Linked DNA regions of Drosophila melanogaster. The protein of the gene in region 2 interacts with the protein of the main gene of each other region in a pairwise test. Each region holds a gene or a part of one and is shown on either strand. Other genes may lie near its edges.

Evidence for each region.
Region 1: the proteins of bol (region 2) and CG34354 interact in a two-hybrid assay, tested with the Drosophila melanogaster proteins (one large-scale study listed by BioGRID).
Region 3: the proteins of bol (region 2) and spz5 interact in a two-hybrid assay, tested with the Drosophila melanogaster proteins (one large-scale study listed by BioGRID).
Region 4: the proteins of bol (region 2) and Ccp84Aa interact in a two-hybrid assay, tested with the Drosophila melanogaster proteins (one large-scale study listed by BioGRID).

Annotation. Positions count from the first base shown.
Region 1 is NT_033777.3:28,144,585-28,150,018, reverse strand, and holds the start of CG34354 (uncharacterized protein), read right to left. Parts: upstream 3,140-5,434; 5' UTR 3,092-3,139; exon of another isoform or gene 3,051-3,091; intron 2,520-3,050; 5' UTR 2,048-2,519; coding exon 1,768-2,047; intron 1-1,767.
Region 2 is NT_037436.4:9,127,010-9,132,558, reverse strand, and holds the start of bol (boule), read left to right. Parts: upstream 1-2,203; 5' UTR 2,204-2,662; intron 2,663-5,549. UniProt on the Drosophila melanogaster protein: RNA-binding protein that plays a central role in spermatogenesis. Required for meiotic entry and germline differentiation, at the transition between G2 and M phases of meiosis I.
Region 3 is NT_037436.4:2,888,860-2,894,313, forward strand, and holds the start of spz5 (spatzle 5), read right to left. Parts: upstream 3,308-5,454; 5' UTR 3,008-3,307; intron 387-3,007; 5' UTR 305-386; coding exon 242-304; intron 186-241; coding exon 31-185; intron 1-30. UniProt on the Drosophila melanogaster protein: Neurotrophin which may function as a ligand for the Toll-related receptors Toll-6 and Toll-7. Binds to Toll-7 and Toll-6, and probably acts as their ligands in the promotion of motor axon targeting and neuronal survival in the central nervous system (CNS).
Region 4 is NT_033777.3:6,701,985-6,705,713, reverse strand, and holds Ccp84Aa (Ccp84Aa), read right to left. Parts: upstream 1,631-3,729; 5' UTR 1,568-1,630; coding exon 1,556-1,567; intron 1,501-1,555; coding exon 895-1,500; 3' UTR 811-894; downstream 1-810. Other genes in the region: Ccp84Ab, read left to right, coding at 2,895-2,906, 2,983-3,636.

The DNA.
Region 1 (5,434 bases), on a different chromosome or scaffold from region 2:
TGCTCTTGCTGCCTTTCTGCCGGCTTTCGACTCAACGAGATGCCACACCGACGCACACTCAACTTTTCACTATTTTTAGTCGTCCCAGTCGTAGTAGTAGACATTTTCCATTTTTCATTACAGCCCAAAGTCAGGCCGGCTGGTTTGCCTGGCCGCTTTTCCTCGTTTCATTTTCATGCAGCTTCCTGTGCCGTTGTTTCCGGTTTTATGCCTGCCAGTGTCTATTTGTGTATAGTTTTTGCCATTAGCAACCGTTGTCGGTTTGAGGGACTTAGGGGTGTTGTTGGGGCCGGGGCTGGTAGAGCCAACAAATTGGAGAATAGTCCCAGTTTCTGTCTCTATCGCTGCTGCCTTTGTTTCCAAGTTTCGGCTTAAGTTGTTTTTAAGTTGTAAATCTCTACGGGCATGCAATTTCCCCTGCCTGCCCAAGCTGTATCAAATTTTTCATTTGTGGTTAAAAATATGAAAATTGTAACTGATATTTATGCTTGTAATGCCTACGCTTGACATTTTCAGCCCAGAGGGGTGGTGTCCACAATAATTCATCTCTGAAATGCGTGTTCGAGTTTGTTATTTTTCGGATTACGTGTGCGAATTTGGCCCCTTGGAATTTTACTCATTTAAAACTGCCCGAAAGTGATACGTGTGCTCTATTGGTATTTTCGAAATCTGCCTCCTTGACTTCCGACTGACTGGGCCACGTTTAATTGAATGTGTTGCCAGTATGATTTTGGCCATCTGACGCATACAAAATTTCTATAAATATGTACGTTATCGTGCCCTGATATCGATCGCCTGGGGTGTTTTTTGGTTTGAATTGTAATTGTTCAGACATTGTTGTGAATACGTAAGCTGTTGTTATTTCTCTAGAGGTTGTTGTTAACTGAGCTTTTGCTTGAAGTTTTTGCTGCACTTGAATTCTAGTTTATTTTAAAGTTTCGCATTTTATTATTATATATAATATGTAGCATATTGTGTTATTTTGCATACTCTAATTTATTGCTCTTTAAGATAAATGCACAAATTTGACAAATAGAACACATTTTAGCACAAACAGCATTTCATTAGGATACAACTAATAGGATAAATTATTTTTTGCCATGGCCGTGTTTGAATGATTTGCTAACTTTTTAAGCCTGCACAAATCCTTGGCTGAAAATGAAATGCAATTATATCGCAAAATAAAATTCATTCAATTAAATCCTAACTGAAGCCCAATCTGAATACGTTTAGAATTGCAAATGACTATGATGGCGTTTTTGTTTTTTTTTTTGTTGAGAATAATACTTGATTTATTGGTCTTTACATGATATTAAACGGTTTGCATTTCCCAGAGTTTTCATATAGACATTTCAATAAATTAGGCAAAAATATTTGTCAATTTTCATAGATTTGCCTTCATTCCCAATATCAGAAAGAAAATTGGGTTATTTGGTTGCAGCCCAGTCCGTTATGATGCATTTAATTAAGTTTTGATATTGCAAATAAACACAAGTTTAGTCGCTGAATGAAATCGTTGTCTATTGAAAATTTATTCCAGTTGTTGATGCGAATAGTACCCCCCAGAACAAAACGCAGATCGTTGTCTGCCGCATTCGAAACACGTCTCAGGGGCAAAGTGGCAGAGACATTTCTCAATTTATGCAACACCTTTTGCCGGTGGAAATTGCGCCGAAACCGAAATCGAAAACGAAACCGAGACCAAGACCGAGAACCGAAACGGGACGAAAAGGACATTCACCCCGGGAAACTCGCTTTTCCACTCACCTGGCTTGGAGTTGTTGCCCACGAGCTGCTGCTGCTGCTGCTGTTGCTGTTGCGACATTTGCTGTTGCTGTTGCTGCTGCGAGTGCTGCTGTTGGCCATTGTGCTGCAAATGAGCAGCTGTCACCGACTGCTGCTGCTGCTGGGCGGCTGCTGCGGCCGCTGCAGCGGGATGGATGGCCAACAGCTTCGTTTCCGGCGGCTTGTGCGGACCCATTGTGATCTGCGGGGCACCCATGGCTATGGTCGGTGCTGGCATCATCAGGGTCGACATGGTCAGCATAATTTGCGAGTGAATTTTGGTCGCTGGACTCGGGAAGCGAAGCTGGGTTGGCTGGTGATGCAGTTGCTCTGGCTGGGAGTCTTTGTCTTTATTGATTTGCTGCTGACTCCTCCGCAGGATCTGAACTCGGTGCCAAAGGTCGTGCGTTAGCCTTTGTCGCCAGCTTTCTCTGGCTCTCGTCGCTGCTTTCTACTTTCTATGTGTGCGGAGTGCAAACTTATGAAATATGCTCTCGCCTTGCTTCGCCTCTATGTATTTTCACTTTTCGTGCTGGCTGGTTACTCTATTTATGTACTACATATATGTATATATATATATATCGACGTAAGTATGGGGGCATGTGGAAAATATGTAAGTATATTTTTTTCGCCTTTCTTTTATGTTTCGCTTATGTGTTTGTTCAACCGGAAATACACGAACTCAAGCGCACTTGGCTTGTAATATCGTTTCAGGGATTTCCTTCGCCTTCTGCCTGCCAGTAATCGCAAATTATTCTTTCTTTTCTGTTGTGTCTGCTGGCAGCGGAAATTATAAATATTCCTGTCATGCGAGTAGTACTACGAGTTCAGTTCTCTGCCTGCCAGACGTCTTCTGTTTTAATATCAATGTCTGGTATGTAAAATGTCAGGCCAAAAAAGAAAACGAAAATATGAAAAAAAAAAAAAAAATGAAAATATGTGAGAAAATAACAGGGGAAAATGCCAAACAAAAAAGTGAAGCCCTGCTCAGCCGGTTCAAAGTCGCTGGGAAAGTTTCAAGTAGCTGGCTGCAATGGCAATTATTATTTTGCCGGCAGCCTCTGAGTTTTTGTCGCGCGCGAATTTGCTGGCAACTTTAGAAGTCACTGACTCCAAGTGCGTGATAAGACCAGCTTAATAAATGTCGTGTATAGGTTAAGATTGAGTGATCTTTAAAAAATAATAGGTTCTAGCCCAAAGCCCAGAATAATTTGCCACTACGGCAAGGCAAGGTGTGAAGTCTATGTTTCGAACTACGCACGAACCAGGCCGACGTGATCAATCGCACACACAGGATATAATTTACAGGATATACAAAGCGTTCGGTATACGTTCGTACTAGACCGCTGGGCGACGCTTTTCTTACTGAACGCCAGGAGCACACGCATTGGCCAAAATTCGGAGGCGCTGCTGCCACTGCAACGACGGCAGAAAGGCTGCCGATTTTCCCGCTGTCGCTGCTGCTGTGAAAATCGCTGTCGCCGCTGCTGCTGCTGCCTCTGCCGTCGATGACGACGACGGGATGCGTTTCCCTACATTTCTCTTCGGCGGCGAGGAGTTCGGTTAACGGCGGCACGAAGCTGGCTGCCATCGCAGCCATCGTTCATGAAATATTCACGAATGGCTCGCTCTCACTCGCGCCGCCTGCTCCTTGCTGAATCCTTGCTCTCCGGCCCTCTCTCCGTCCCTCTCGCCATCCCAACTGGCTCGTTTCCTCGCTCCAGGCGCCATTCACAAGTCGCAAGCCTCGTCCTTTCAGGTCCTTTCGGCTCCCGTCGCCACAGAGCGCAGAATCCGAGCAGCCGAGAGCACAGGCTTTTCGAAAGCGCCAGCCACATTTGAAATTGACTGCCAAGGCTTGTTTTCTGATTTATAATTTAAATAAAAATATAATGTTATATCTTTAAATTAAAATCGTAATATCTACATGTAAAAATTCAGTTTCCAATTTAGTCAGAGCTTTTATAATGATTTTCCGTACCACTTGTCGCTTTAAATAGAACCTTCAGAAATGTCCTTTTGCGCCTCGTCACTCGAAAATACCAGTATTTTTATGGCATGCCCTGAAAACTGTTATACGTTGCAGGACAAGGCAAATGTTAAGAACAGCCAGCTGATGTTAATATTTTCTATTCTTTTTCATCTGAATCCATCCTTGCGTCCAAGTGGTCATAAAATATTAACTTTTAAAACTAATCTAACAATATAATATCTAACTAGGATAAAGCAGCAATAGCTTTTCAACAATTGTAAGCACACTTATATGCTAAACACTGTGAAAAAGGGTCAGATAAAAGCAACAACCTTTGAAGTTATTATTACTTAGTTTCACTAATATGAAATGTTTTGTATAAGCTACATACCATTAATTGCATGAGAAGCTTTGCTTCTCCTGCTGCCAATTGCCTTGCGTTAATTGTAGCCCTGGAACTAAATCCAAACAGGACAACAAAAAGGATGCAATTTAAGGTGTATCTCCCTATTATTGCACTCTTTTCTCCTCGTTATTACTCCTCTTTTTGCGTTATTAACATACTTTCTCGTGTCGACAGCGGTGACAGGGACAGCGAGCGACAGGACGACGGTGTTCTGAGGTAATGTTGCAAAGAGCAGTGCTCGAAAAAGTGTCTGGGCTGGGGAGGAGTCGCCAGTGAAATGGGGAAATGTTGGTAAAATACATAATTACATGTAATTTACCATGCGACATTATCATTGTTCTGCTCGTATTTAGCATAGAATCAACGTCGCACGGCAGAGACGTCGAGTGTCCATAGAATAGCTCATGTAGCGGACAACGGGTCTTGAATGTACTCTCCCTGCTCACCAACTCACAGAAGTACTCGAAAAAAATGATTCAACTTTATATTTATTTAAAAAATAAATAAAATTCTAAGGATTCAGCTTAAAACGTTCAGTTTAAAACCAAAGTTACATATAATTCTAGGGATCTCAAGAGTAAACATAACGATACTTCTACAAAACATTTCGATTCAATTGTAAATCTATGTTTATATTTGTGAAGAAAATCCTGATTTTCTTTTAGTGTATATTGCATGTGCTTAAATGCAACAAAAACAGCAGCAACTTCACGTAATAACAAAAGTGAAGTAAACAATAAGAAGAGGCCGTTAGAGCGATGCAAAAGACGAGTTTCTTTCTTGTTTGGCCCACTCTTTCTGCATGTCCTTCTGCCGCTCTCGCCGATTCTATGCACTTGTGTGTGTGACAATTGCCCTTTGAATTTTTAAATCCCTTTAAATGAAAACAACAACTGGGATCCCCTGCCTTTTGGCCTTTTGTTCTTCGAGTTGCGCTTGTTAGGTAAATCAGCGCCAGTTTGCATGAGTGTGTTTTGGTGAGCGAGTGTGTGAGTGTGCGATTATGCGATTGTGTGAATGAGTGAGCCTTTGCAGCAAAAACAACGAGAAAACAACAACAATATCATCGTGCGGAAAGTTATAACGTGCTTAAGCGTCTTAAGCTGAAATGAGGCTAAAAATATTTGCTTATAATGAAGTGCACGACTGTGTGAGTGTAAATGTGACCTGTGACCATGCACAAGTACACCCAAACAATTGTATGTTTGCTTGTTTGTCATTGTGTGTAACAATAGCGCATCGGGTACTATTGTTGTTGTTTCACTCGAGGA
Region 2 (5,549 bases):
AATGGAATTCTTGATTTAGATCAATTTCTCCAAAGGCTTGAATTGCAGGCCGGTATATATGATATCAGCCAAATCAAAATGGCACCGTGGAAAAAAATCTTTGAACACGTTTCAATAGATAAATTTAAAAATATGGGCAATAAAATATTAAAGAATTTAAAAGTAGCGCTACTTAACCCGGTGACCCAAATAAATAATGAAAAAGAAAAAGAAGCTATATTGTCTACATTACATGATGATCCAATACAAGGAGGGCATACAGGCATTACAAAAACCTTGGCCAAGGTCAAAAGACATTATTACTGGAAAAATATGAGTAAATACATAAAAGAGTACGTAAGAAAATGTCAAAAATGCCAAAAAGCAAAAACAACAAAGCACACAAAGACTCCAATGACGATAACTGAAACACCAGAACATGCTTTCGATAGAGTTGTTGTGGACACAATTGGTCCACTACCCAAGTCAGAAAATGGTAACGAGTACGCAGTCACTCTCATATGTGATTTAACCAAGTACTTAGTTGCCATACCAATAGCAAATAAAAGCGCAAAAACAGTCGCAAAAGCTATATTTGAATCTTTTATTCTAAAGTACGGTCCAATGAAGACGTTCATAACGGACATGGGAACAGAGTATAAGAATTCAATAATTACTGACCTGTGTAAATATTTGAAAATAAAAAATATAACATCAACAGCTCATCACCACCAGACAGTTGGAGTAGTAGAAAGAAGTCATAGAACTTTAAACGAGTATATACGATCCTACATATCGACGGACAAAACCGATTGGGACGTATGGCTTCAATATTTCGTATACTGCTTCAACACGACCCAATCTATGGTACATAATTATTGTCCATATGAATTAGTTTTCGGTAGAACAAGTAATTTACCAAAACATTTTAATAAACTACATAGCATAGAACCAATATATAACATAGATGATTACGCTAAGGAGAGTAAATATAGGTTAGAGGTAGCATATGCTCGAGCAAGAAAACTTCTTGAAGCACACAAAGAAAAAAATAAAGAAAATTATGACTTAAAAATAAAAGACATAGAATTAGAAGTAGGAGATAAAGTTTTACTAAGAAATGAGGTAGGTCATAAATTAGACTTTAAATATACGGGGCCCTATAAGATAGAAAGCATAGGAGATAATAACAATATTACGCTACTTACTAATAAAAACAAAAAACAAATAGTTCATAAAGATAGATTAAAGAAATTTCATTCATGATTGAATTTAAACTTATATTTTCCTTAATCATTTATACAAATTTTCCATACACTACGTATATTTTTATCTTTGCATTATAAAATCAACTATTGTTGTTCAAACAAAAACACAAACAAAATAAAAATAAAAATAAAATAATTTGCATTTAATAATCAAAATAACTTCACTAGGTTACGTTATTTTTCAAAAGGAGGGAGATGTAGTATGTGCCTATGCAATATTAAGAACAATTAAATAAAATAGCATATTAACTTATGGCAGCACTTTGTTGCTATGTTTATGTTTATGCACGCAGTTAGGCCAGGGCGGATGTAACATGATCACCCACTCGAAGGCCACAAAGTATAAGTGCATTGCCCACTCGAAGGCAAAAAGTATAAGTGCATGGTCAGCATTCACACGCCGACCAAATACATATTACATACGTACATACATATCTCGCTCTCCCGATAAGCCTAGATATATAAGATATACATAAGAACGCCGCTCCGCTGCTGGCGTACCCGGCAGCGCAGCTACGCGGATTAGCCTAAGTCAAAATATATAAAAAACTGTAAAATCGGAGAGACTCTGTAGACGTTGAGCTGACAGAACCATTTCTGCCTACTCTAAAATCAAAAGAAGAAATTGAATAAATATATGTCAGCCCGACGGCTGCCTTCAACTTAAAACGGACTTGTGTTCTTAATTGGAGTTCATCATTACACGAGAGCAGTTGTAGAACTAAAATTGTTGTGCTATATCGCTAAACGGTGAACGGTAAATATTGAAGAGAGTTTTCCTGGCTTCAATTTTCCTTTGCAATCGCCCCCACCATCCTTGGAATTTTGGGTTTTTTGGAAGAGAAAAACACATGTGGTGTGTCGCCACAGTGTTTTGGTTTTTCTCGGCCGCCCAAGTAGACGGCGCGTAGTTTTTCATTTTGACGGGAGTTTTCCTTTCGGTCGTCGCCTTACACTCATTTCTAATTGTGATTCGTAGGAAGTAAGTTGTCTAGTGCTATATATATATATATTCAAGTAAAATTGTTTTAAATCGGAACACACAACAATAATATATACAAGTAAACACCACTAAATATCGGAAAAGAAAGAAGAGCAAATAATTAAATTACAAAAGAAACCAAGAGAATATCAAGCTAAATCCCATCATCCCATCATCCCATCGTTTTTGGTCTTCTGGTTCTTGTTCATCACCGACGTTATTGATATTGATATTGAATACTGGATATTAAGATACATATATACAAACGCATCGTATCTGGGATAAACGTTCATCACAAGGAATATTAATGATACGCAAAGGCTGTAACTGTAAACTGTGTCCCCTCTCACGTAAGACGTAACGTAAGGCAGCCTGTGGAAACGACGTAGTTTGGACGCAATCAGAAAAATCTCCAAGGAGGACGCAGCTAACGGTGAGTTTTCCTGATGACAGAACAGGGGATTGCTTTTGGGTGGGGGGAGGATGAATGTCACTCGCAGGGAAAATGAAAAATGCCAGGCGAAAATTCTTGGCCATGCAACTCGTTTGGCCGCTCTGCCTCTTTCGCTCCCGCGTACGCTTATGTGTGTGTTTATGCAGCGGAAAACGTGTATTCTTGAGAAAAACCAGAAAATCGAAACCCGGAATTGGGTCAGTATGTCACACGCCGTCCCGCTCCCACCGATTCCAATTCCGATTCCGATTCGAGCTGCTAGTCTGGCTAAAAACTCTGGCTAAAACGTGTTTCGTGCTTAGTCAATTTGTTCTTTTTCATCTAGTCGCAGCTGCGCTGCCGCAGTTGGCGTCGCTGCACGGCCACTTGACTAAAAGCGGCCTAAACAGCATCGCCTCCAGAATGCCTAAAAAACAAAACAACAACATGTAGTGCCGCTGCACGTGTGCGAAAGAGAGGGCGGCGAAAGGTGGGAAAAAGACAGAATGTCTGTCACCCGCGCGACCAACTTAAATACCCTGTACTTATGTGAGGGAATATTGTAGAACAGCTTATTAGTATAGATTCTACACAATAAAACCGTTTAATCATATCACGAAATATTGATAATTAGTACATACAAAACATATGTGGTTTTGTCAGCATAACAAATAATATTATAATAATATAAGGTCAATACATGAGATTTTTAGGCCCTAATATAATTTTCCTAGAGGCAGAACTGCTTTTTTATTTATTATTAATTGCTAGATTCTTTTATACAAAGATAGTTACTTTTTAACTTACACATGTATGTACATATGTATGTGAATGTACATATATGTATATGCTGAGTATCTCCTATTCGCCAGCTTATCTTTTGTGATGTAAAATGATAAATGGCTCGCTCTCCGACTTTCGTAGTTTTGCCTCTCTCTAGTTTTTCGGCCACTCGCTTCACTTGATCTTGCACTCGGATTTCGGCCGAGTTGCAGTCGACAGCGCTGTCAGCGTCGACGGCGACTGCGGCGGCGGCGCTTTTACCTTGAGCACGCCTGCACTTGTCACAGCCCCTCCCCCCGCCCACCGACTCACACGCCGTTTGAATTTGAACTTCTGAAAAAGCCAACACCTTTCGAAATTGTAGCCGCTTTTATTTCTTTTTCTTTTGCCTCCGAGCAGCGGCATTTTTATATTTCTGATGTTTGCTAATAAAATTATTACGACTTGGCCGACAGCGGCTGCTAATGCGTTTTAAGGTCGCCGACGCTGCTCTTGTTGATTTTGATCCAATAAAAAAATGTGATGATGCCCCGCTTAGATTTCTCGGTCCATTTAACATGTGTCCATTGGCCCAGGATCCGATTTGATTTATTTCAAAGTTATTTATTATACAGTCAGGCGAAAAGCAAAACAAACATGAATGGGGAAAATTGAAGGCAAATGGCAGACAGCTGGTGCTCATTTTCCGGGATGCGAAAAAGGGATAGAATTGGGATAGTGCACTGAGAAAAATCAGTGAAAGAGTTCATATCATATCATACTGCATATGTTTGCATCTCAAGAATCTCTTTGTATGAGTAGAGATCAAATGGATAAGGAAACAGCTTTCGTTCATGAGATGTCTATCTCTAAAAACTACTTATAGGTGGAAATTTATTCTAGACAAGGGTAGAGAGCACTGCAAATACGTATCCAAAAACAACTCCCCAGATAATTCATCATTACATCATAACCGTTGCGAATTCATGACTAATGGCCGATGATTTTTCTCTCTGTGGGGAATACGCGACGTCGTGGGATAGGGATAACAACACGGAAGAGGCTCCATTATAGGTTGCTGGTTTACTAGTTAACTGGGCTCCAGCCAAGGGAGCGAAAGGGAAAGGTGACGAACGAGAGGGAGAGAGCGAGAGAGCTAGGGGGAATCTGAATTACAGAGAGTGGGCGGGGGTGGTGACACTGACAGTGGAGCACCTTCGTCATCGTCAAACATTCGGGCTGTATAAGAGCAATAAATAATGCACACGAAGAGCAGTGATGAGAGCCAATGATATGGGAAAATATCGGACGAGAAATTCGACAGAGAGAGAGAGAGAGAGAGAAAGCGGAGAGAAATTTGGGGGGCGAGCGTAAGAGATTCGCCTTGGGGGGTTGATTGTGTTTAATTTTTGCACTTAAGAGCGCAAAAAGTGGCTTTGATTTTCCGCCGGCCCTTCTCACGCAGCTTGGGGCATGCCAACTTTGATGGCCGATTTGACCAACCCCCAGGAGGGAATTCCCAACTTGGCTCATTAAATTGATAACATTAAGCAGGCGATATTTAATTTGATTTTCTCCAGACACAAACACAATCTGATACACAAATTGTATAGATTCTATAAGTTATAGTTTTCTGAAGATTTAAACTTAAAACAAAATTACTGTACTGTTTTCATAGTGTAAAATACCTATGCTAATTTTAGTTTTCGTGGCACTTTTAAATATTATACATAAGCATGATAATTTGTCAAAGTTTCTTGTAGTGCATATATTTTTCGCAGAGAGCATCCACTCAAAAATATTTCCGTATTCTTGGCAACATTGTTGTTGGCGATGGGTTAGTGGGCGGAAAAGTGGGTGTTGCGTGGGCAGTCGCCCCACATTTGCATGTTCCCAACACGGCACACATTTTCTCGCTTCTCTGCGCCGCTCACGCGTCTCTCTCTCTCTCGCTCTCTCTTGCCATTTTTCTCGCTCTCTGGACGGATGCCCAAGTATATAGCCCAAAGTCCCAAATTGGGATAGGGATGCGAAGGCTATAGCGCTAACCTATATAATTTTTTGTGTTCCGCTTCTAACAACAAGCACATCCTCTGGTGGTGCTCCAACCAAAAAAGGAAGGAAA
Region 3 (5,454 bases), 6.2 Mb from region 2:
ATGGGGGACTATTATGGGTACTCTACTCACGTGGGGTAGTTATCGGCGTGCTCGCAGTACGTCTTTCCTGGACGGGCACAGGTGGGCGTTTGTCCAGGTGGCGCCGGGAGGAACTGGCAAGGCGGGGCTCCATAAAGGCCACATGGCGGGGGCGAGCTGTGGGCGGCTACTGTATAAGCTAATATCTGGAGAAAGGAGATTTTGAAGTATAATAAGGAGTACTGGGAGAAGGAATACTCACCACATAGGTAAGAAGAACTTGTTTACAACTAAAGGGGGGCGGACGTTTAATACTTTTTGTCATTGTCAATTCATTCGCCGTCGATTTGCATTTGCATTTGACTCGATTGCGATTCAGCCAGTGTCTTCAACGTGAATTCGGAAACCTGAAGCGAAAGAGAAACTGCCATGAGTTATTTGGTCAAATATTAGTCGCAAAAAAATGGCAAATACACGACCATTTCTCGCACCATTTCCATTGGGACACGAAACAGACAATAAGTGATGGTTTTTCCGCAGCGGAAATGCTTCAAAGTGCTTATTTGTTGCCCACAGTTCACTTGGGCTTATTGTTAAGTTAAACAATCAACAACTAAAACAATAACACAAACACGAACTACACCACCGACAGCCTCTTGAGCAAACAACAGCCAAACAACTCGAACAACTCCCGTAAATAGCGAAAATAAATTGCCAAAAGTGAAAGTGACGAACAAGCTCCAGACAACAAGATTAAGTATACGCAGATTAAGTATACGCCGCGAAGATAATGGACTGGACACGCCCCATGCATTGTGGGGGCGTTCTCAATTGGCGACCCGAGCTGTCAGCTAATGACAATACTTATAAACTCTAATGATTTATTAGGACTCTAAAACGGAATTTCAATATGCCGGTATTTAAATCGGATGTTTTATAGACAATTTAAGTTTAGATCAATGCAAGATATTTTGCATATTTAAAGTGATATATTACCAACTGTTGGAGAGAATATATATATAATAATACAAGCAGTTTTTATTGCGGAAACTATGAGATAACTTTGACTAGATTTCGATAGTTAGCAATGCTTTTATATGAACAAGAAGCTCAAAGAAAAATTCCCAACATGTTTCCCGTATGAAATCAACTTTTAAAATCTGGGAAAATTAAAAATCCCGTAATTAAATGTTAATTAACAGCTGACATAACTAACGAAAGTGAGCTAAAAATTAACAAAAAATGTTATACAAATATTTTAATTATTATAATGTAACAATGCTAACAAGTGATCAAATCTAAAGCTGTCACAGTCAATGGTAAAAACCGGATTTCGTGTCAAGTTTTGCTATAGTTTCAATATAATGTGTACCACAATTATTTATAGAACAAAAAGCAATAACAATTGCCTTTAACACTCAGACATGGGGTGCCTGTAAAAACAGCGAGCATTCAAGAATCAATTGGAATTTATACCGATACAAAAACACCTGCCACAAGCTGCGATAGGATTTCCGGGATCACAGGCTCTTTTGCACGAGCCAAGCAAAACAAATCAGTCAACAAACAAGAGCCAATGACAAAGTGTCCGTCAAGGTACACAGGAAATAATTATATTAATAATATTAAAAATGAAAAAATAAAGAAAACAATTATAATAAATGAACATTCACGGCATATTAAAGTATCAAACAGAAGTTTGAAACACAAAATGTTGTTTAGTAGTTGAGCTGGGCTTTAAATGCTTATACAATTTTATATATACATATAATAACACATATTTCTCTGAGATTAAAATAGCTTAGGTATTTTGAAACCACGTTTCCAACCATGTTTTCTGCTGTGCATCGAAGCCAGATTTAGTGTCTGCGATCTGCTAATGGAGTCTTGCACATGGCTACACCCACGTATTGCTGGTATTTCCCCGATGCCAAAGTTGCGCCAGGCGATCACCTCATAAATCACAGAGCAGCCAAAAGAAGTTGGACATGGGTTTTGGCATTGTTTCCCTTGGCAACTTTAGTGGCAGCGTGTTTTATGGTGTGTTTTGGGCCATTTGCACATCATTAGGCCGACGGGCCAAAAGTTAATGAAATTGTTAAAGATCTTTGACCAAGCTTTAGCGGCTAATCCATTGGCTGCGGCATCATTTTCGAAATTGAGTGCTCAAAATCGCTGGGCCCCATTCAATTTATTTGAATGATTTGGCCGCAAAATCATCTATCTATATTTAATTAATTATATCCCGCCTGAGTAATGATCGATTGTCAGATCTTTATCTTTGTCTCGCCCAGACATTCTCACTTATTCACCCGATTGGCACTTTTTTAAGGGGATAAAATATTTTGTTGGCATCTAATTGAAGCATTAGCAGGCTAAAAAAAAGAGCTGAATGAAACGAAATGCTGCTAATTAATTATAAAGCTATTTAATAATAATGATTGCTTATTAAGTTTTTATTACGCGAGTGTTTGACACAGGAAAGTTTTAAGCTCTCTAGTTTATTTAATTGGTAAACTTGTATACTTTCCACAATATCTATCCTTACTTCTATCCATTAAATAAACTATCAAAGAGACAGACTTCTGCTTCGGGCATTTTTTCCAAAGCCTCTGAATTATTTTCCTTCACAAAGAGGTTGGGTTATTTGAAGCTAATTTAGGGACTAAAACAATGGATTCGATTGGAGGCAGACAAATAGCTGAGCTTCATTATAATTTTTTAAACATATATTTTATGCCTGCATTTAGCTAAGAAATTAAGCACGACTTTTCAAGGTTTTTTCTCCCCACTTGATTATATTTTGTTTGTATTTACCCAAAGTGTTGTCTGCATTTTTTGTGGATTTTGTTTTGTGATCGCTTTGATTTAATTTGTGTTTGCTGGTTTCCTAACATTTTGGTTACAAGTGTATACAAAAAGAAGGAAAACAATCAAGCGTTATAATAAATCAGAGCTGCGATGACGAACCAATGAAATTTATTAACTTATGGCGGGAATTAAAGTATTCAATTTAATAATTACTCACCTAGTGTGCGGCTTGTAGATTTGTTTGGGTTTTTGCTTCACAGTATTTGGCAAATGTTTTTGATCACTATGTGCACTTTTGTCGAGCTTAGCTATGCTCTTTGTATTTCAGTGAAATATTTTCTCTTTTTTTGCCACCGAACACTCACTTGAAAATTCTACTAATTAAAAAACTTAACACGTACCGAAGAGCGCGGATATTTCGGTTTTTGGACTTTAGGTTTTCGATTTCGATTTCGTTTTCGTCTTTTCCGTTTCACGCGTTTGCCAATGCTCACGGCGGCAGCTCGTAGCCAACTGAGCGGTCTTAGCCAAGTTAACAGCGGCCCAGAGCCGCAAACTCGGGAAAAGAGGCAGAGAAAAGCAGAGCTTGGGTCAGAGCAGAGCTATATAGCAAAAGATATAGCCGGCTCTGATCTCCCAGGCTAATCTCTCAATTTAGCCCGCTCAACTTTGAACTTTTTGGCCCGTGATTCATGTCGTTGGCCACATAGTATAATGTGATATGTGGTGCGGTTTTCTTTTTCTTTTTTGGCCCGATTCAAGACCGGAAGTCCAGTGGTTCGGGCCATTCGATATGACGTGGGCCTTATTTATTGACCACTTTTATTGTTTATTTTACATTGTCGCCAATATGCGAACTGCAATAAAGTGAATTTATTTAAATTGTTAATTTTTCTGCTCGCCAATTGTTGTTCGTCGTTGCCGCCGGTTTTGGCCCATAGATACGGCGCATTGTTCGGGCGATGAATTTGGATTTTTATGGCCAATGAAGGTCAGTTAACAGCTTTTATCTGTCGCAGATTTGTGACTGCTGCCGTTGATTTGATTTGGCGCTGCCTCCGGCACAGACATTGAATGTTGGCAAGAAAAGGCTTTTAATGGCCAAGACCACGCACAATTGTAGGAGTTACCTCCGATTTTGTCTCTCGTCGAAGGCATTTAAATCAATTTTGCGCGTTGCCAAAGCTGGAATTATGGGTAATATTTCAGCACAGGTATATTGGGAATTATTTTTTTTTTTTTCATTCCTAATAAATATTTACAATACTTTTTAACCAAGAAGAAAGCGCTGAGCAGTAATTTCTCTGTCAATTTATTTTAAAGTATTGAATATGCAATATGTGTGTACATAATTAGAAAAAAACAAATAAATTTAATTTTTAAAAAGGTTGAAAGAGATGTATACCGTAAAATAGTTTTAAACTATCAAAGGCCTAAATTATTTTTATGGTTCAAAGTATAAGCCAAATAGACCGAAATATATCTAGTAAGATTTTCAAGATTTTCAGAAAATGAAATGAATTATTTAAATTCGATAATTAGTGATAAAAATGAGTATGGTTACATGATTTACTCACTGGGTATCCAGTTAGTCCACTCTCCGCAAACTCGAACATTATTTATGTTTACAGCTGATTGCCAATAGCAAGAGATTTGCACTCTCAAATCTTCCGAGGCGGTTTTGGAATTTTATCCGTCGCCTTGGGTGCTTCATCGTTCAATTTTGGTTTCTTGGCTCCAATTTTGCACAACTTTCACAAAGACGAGACCTAGACAGAAAAGTACGGGAAAACCCTCGCCGAAATCACAATATGGGGCTCCAAGCTCTTATCGAAAATGGTTTTTAATGCGTTTTTAAGTCAAATTAGTGACTTCATCAGTCTGCCGGCCGAGCAGGCTCAGATTCGATTTGAGATTCACTTAAGCCGCTCATTAATCAAACTCCGAGCCCAAGGTATCGGGACCAAAGGTATCATTTTATACCTAAAACTATCGCGGCTACATATGTATATAACACGTGGAGGGGCCACTCCCCCAACTTCCCACCGCCGTTTTAAGGCTTAGCTGCAATTGCGAAAGGGTTAATTAGGGGCTGGGTCCACCAACTCAATGCCGCCGGTTGGCCAATGAAACCATTAAAGCCGTCGATTGCCCTGGGCAATTTGTACCTCTTTTCCATTATTTTTGGCCCACTAGCTCGCCGAACATCACCCGCTGCCCGTGACGTAATGGCTAAAGGTGCTTAGGGTCGATCCGCTTAAAGATCGGCCTATTTTATGAAGTATCTCCTCTAAACCAAGAAACGTATCGGAACCGCCTCGAAAACGCTAGAAAAACTCGGTCGTTTCGCCTTTTGGTTGTGATCTTCGATTGCTAGCTGACAGAAGCTAAGTAATATTACACAAGTTTGTTTATTTATTGTTTATATGTTGATTAAAAACCCGGACCAATTTTACTAATTATCAATTTTAATACTCCAAATAATTAAGAAAATTTTTTAATAATTATCTTAATTTTACTACCTTTTAATTATCTGGACCATCTTCAAGGGACTAAAAAATAGTATTACTTATAAATAATATTTGCAAAGCCATATTTAAAATCTCTTTTATTTTATGACTAGGTAAATATTTTAACAGTCTATAAAATAATGTGAAAATATTT
Region 4 (3,729 bases), on a different chromosome or scaffold from region 2:
ATACTTTATCGTAAGCATTGCCATAAGATCAGGTATCGATAAACTCTATGGAATGGAATGGAATGGAATGCCGTGGTTTTGACGTCTATTATAAAAACTTATTTGCAAAACCTTACACAAAATGGTAGTTACTTATGAAGGTCACTGCATCTCAGCAGTCAAAAAACCGAACTCATTCATAAAACTAAGCTGTTTGCGTTTGCTTGAACATTTTGAAAAGTTTGAACAATCACAGCAAGTTTCATAGATACATCATTTCTATTTAATAATTCTAATTAGTATGATTCTATACGAGTTTTTTGGAAGTGTACTATTTGTAGTCAGTCTATTCTATTGTTTAAATACAAAAAATTAATGGTAATAGGTACGAGCAAAGAGGGGAATGGGAAAGCCGGTCACTGAAGTTCCATTTAGCAAAATCAAATCGAAATCCGGCAAACGAAAAAATCGTTTATATTATATATCCGTTAATTGCTTTTATAAGCACACATGAATATTTCACACCGATCTGATTATGATTTATTATTCGTTGATAGGATTGGCCAACGTCCAGACCCGAATCGAACATCATAGATATCTCAATGGAATGGAGCGATTGAAAGAAAAAATTCAATTTGACTTTAAAACTTTGGAATTTTGGAATTTGGAATTTCAATGTCGCAGCCTAATTCAATTAATTGGCCACACAGCCACTCTAATTTAGCCCTCACGAAGCAAAAGTAATTACAATAAATTGTATTGCTTCGTGAATCGAATTGAGCCCCAGGAAATACATATCCTTTGGATAGGATACAGTGATATAACCTTTTTAAATGTGAAATATATTTTTATATATATAGAAGTCGTTCGTAAAACTATAACAATAAAGAGCTGGGCAATGTGGAATGTCAGTTCTCAGGGGTGGTAGGCAACAGCGGGGGCGGCGTAGTGGGTGGGAGCAGCATAGGTGGCATATGCAGCGGGGGCAGCATAGTGAGCCACTGGGGCCACAGTCTTGACCACAGCAGGAGCAGCGTAGTGGGCAACTGGAGCCACGGTCTTGACCACAGCGGGAGCAGCGTAGTGGGCGACAGCAGGGGCGGCGTATTGGGCAACGGGAGCGGCGACGGTCTTCACAACGGGGGCAACGGCGACGGCCTTGACCAGGGGCTCACGGTTGACAACGGCGTTGAATCCGTTGATGGGATCGGCGGTGTACTGGACGATCCTCTTGTAGCCGTCAGCGTCGATCAGGGAGTACTCTCCGCGTACCACATCTCCATCGCGCTCCTCCACCTGTCCCTTGTTGTCACCGGTTAGCTTGTCATCGACTCCGTAGGAGAAGCGGTACTGGGGGTGGGGGTCGTACTCCTCGGCGGCCTTGACCACGACCTTCTGGGCGACGGCCACGGGGGCGTGGGCGTAGGTGGCCACCGCTGGGGCAGCGTGGTACACCTGTGGGGCGGCGATGGGGGCATAACCGGCGCTGGCCACGGCGACGAAGGCGAGGGCGAAGACAAACTGGGGAACATATTCGTTAGAGAAACGGGTTCTGGTGGGATACCACAGGACTCACCTTGAATGCCATTTTATAGGGTTTTTGGATTCGTGGGTTAGTTCTTTGCGGAAACGGTGCTGATGGCTGAATGATACGGTTTCTGGCCGGCCAGCGGTTTTATAGCTCCCGCTTGCAGTTTCTGCTCAGGTGAAGCAAGGTGCTTACGCTTGGCCTTCTGAATATCATGCTCCAAATTAGCGCGAAGTCACCGCTCTGCGAAGTCAACGGCAAAGTCGGCAGAGACGCCGGCAGAGAACCAAGAGAGGAGAAGGGATTTGCGAATGCGAGATGCAGTCCAATTATTTAGAAAGGATTCGGCGGATTCGCGCGGTGCCCACGTTAAAATTGGTAGTTGGGAATGGATTGCATCTGCTAATAGCGTTTCGATTATCCAAGATATTTTAAGGATGGGATCGTGGATGTCTGGTGGGTGGCCTTGATTCCCACAGACTTCGCAAAAGGGCATTTATTTTGAATGAAGCAGCGATTTTCTATATATTGTACAAAAATAATGCATTGTGTAATATATTTTTAACGTTTATGTTCTAAGACCCATAAATGCCAAACTCTTAAATGTGTATCTGATAAATTATTATCTGAGTGTAAATAGAATGTTAGGTATTTAGATGTAGCTAAGTAGTTGTGTTCCTTAGGACACTAACGCAGACCCAACTTAGCTTTTAGTTTTTAGAACCACAGTTTTTGTAGTGTCAACCAATTTCAAAAAATATTAATCTTTTTTCAAGAGTTTTTTCTTATCCAGCACAGTGTAAAGTTCATTCAACTCTTTAAGATTGCAAATCCGTTCGTATAATTATAATCATATATGTATAGAGTATTTAAAGAATATCAATCAGATTGCACAGTGAACTCTAAAGATTCGAAAATCTTTAAAAAAACCTAATCAAAATTTTGCGATTTGCTTTGTAAGAAAAAAATATATGATCAGTATATCTTCTTAAAGCGATCTTATACAGCGTTATATAACAAAGTAATTAGCCACACATTGCGGCCGGCAAAGCCCTTTCGGTATTACGCAAACCTTTCCCCAAAGATCTTTCACTCTTTCGGTGCTGACGGGTTTAGAATCTGTGGCCACAAGCATTTGCACACCCACTGAGCTTAGCGCCACGAACAGGAAGTACAAGTTATTGCCCGACAACAATCGCAGTCGAGAAGCATTTAATATATTTCGCTGTCACCGCGAAAATAACACGTGCTGTCGGCGTATTGGGCCAAAGCAGAGCAGAGCTGGCAGCTTGATTTACTATAAAAGTTGTCGATCGGACACAGAAAAGTATCATTCGCAGATCCAGTTCACTTCTGTAAAGAACTACCAATCAGCACTCCTAGCAACATGGCCTTCAAGGTGAGTCATCTCGATGGAAATCCGGGATCAACTGTATACGAAATTCCGGTTGGATATCTAACGCTCTTGAATTTAGTTTGTCTTCGCCCTCGCCTTCGTCGCCGTGGCCAGCGCCGGTTATGCTCCCATCGCCGCCCCACAGGTGTACCATGCTGCCCCAGCGGTGGCCACCTACGCCCACGCCCCCGTGGCCGTCGCCCAAAAGGTCGTGGTCAAGGCCGCCGAGGAGTACGACCCCCACCCCCAGTACCGCTTCTCCTACGGAGTCGATGACAAGCTAACCGGTGACAACAAGGGACAGGTGGAGGAGCGCGATGGAGATGTGGTACGCGGAGAGTACTCCCTGATCGACGCTGACGGCTACAAGAGGACCGTCCAGTACACCGCCGATCCCATCAACGGATTCAACGCCGTTGTCAACCGTGAGCCCCTGGTCAAGGCCGTCGCCGTTGCCCCCGTTGTGAAGACCGTCGCCGCTCCCGTTGCCCAATACGCCGCCCCTGCTGTCGCCCACTACGCTGCTCCCGCTGTGGTCAAGACCGTTGCTCCAGTTGCCCACTACGCTGCTCCTGCTGTGGTCAAGACTGTGGCCCCAGTGGCTCACTATGCTGCCCCCGCTGCATATGCCACCTATGCTGCTCCCACCCACTACGCAGCTCCCGCCCACTATGCCGCCCCCGCTGCCACCTACACCTCGTACTCGGCTCCCGCCGTCGCCTACCACCACTAGATCCTGGCTAAAATCGACGCTGTACATATATAGAATTGTTGGCTTTATTATAACTGTTCATTTATTTATTGACAGCACCAATAAAAAAATGCA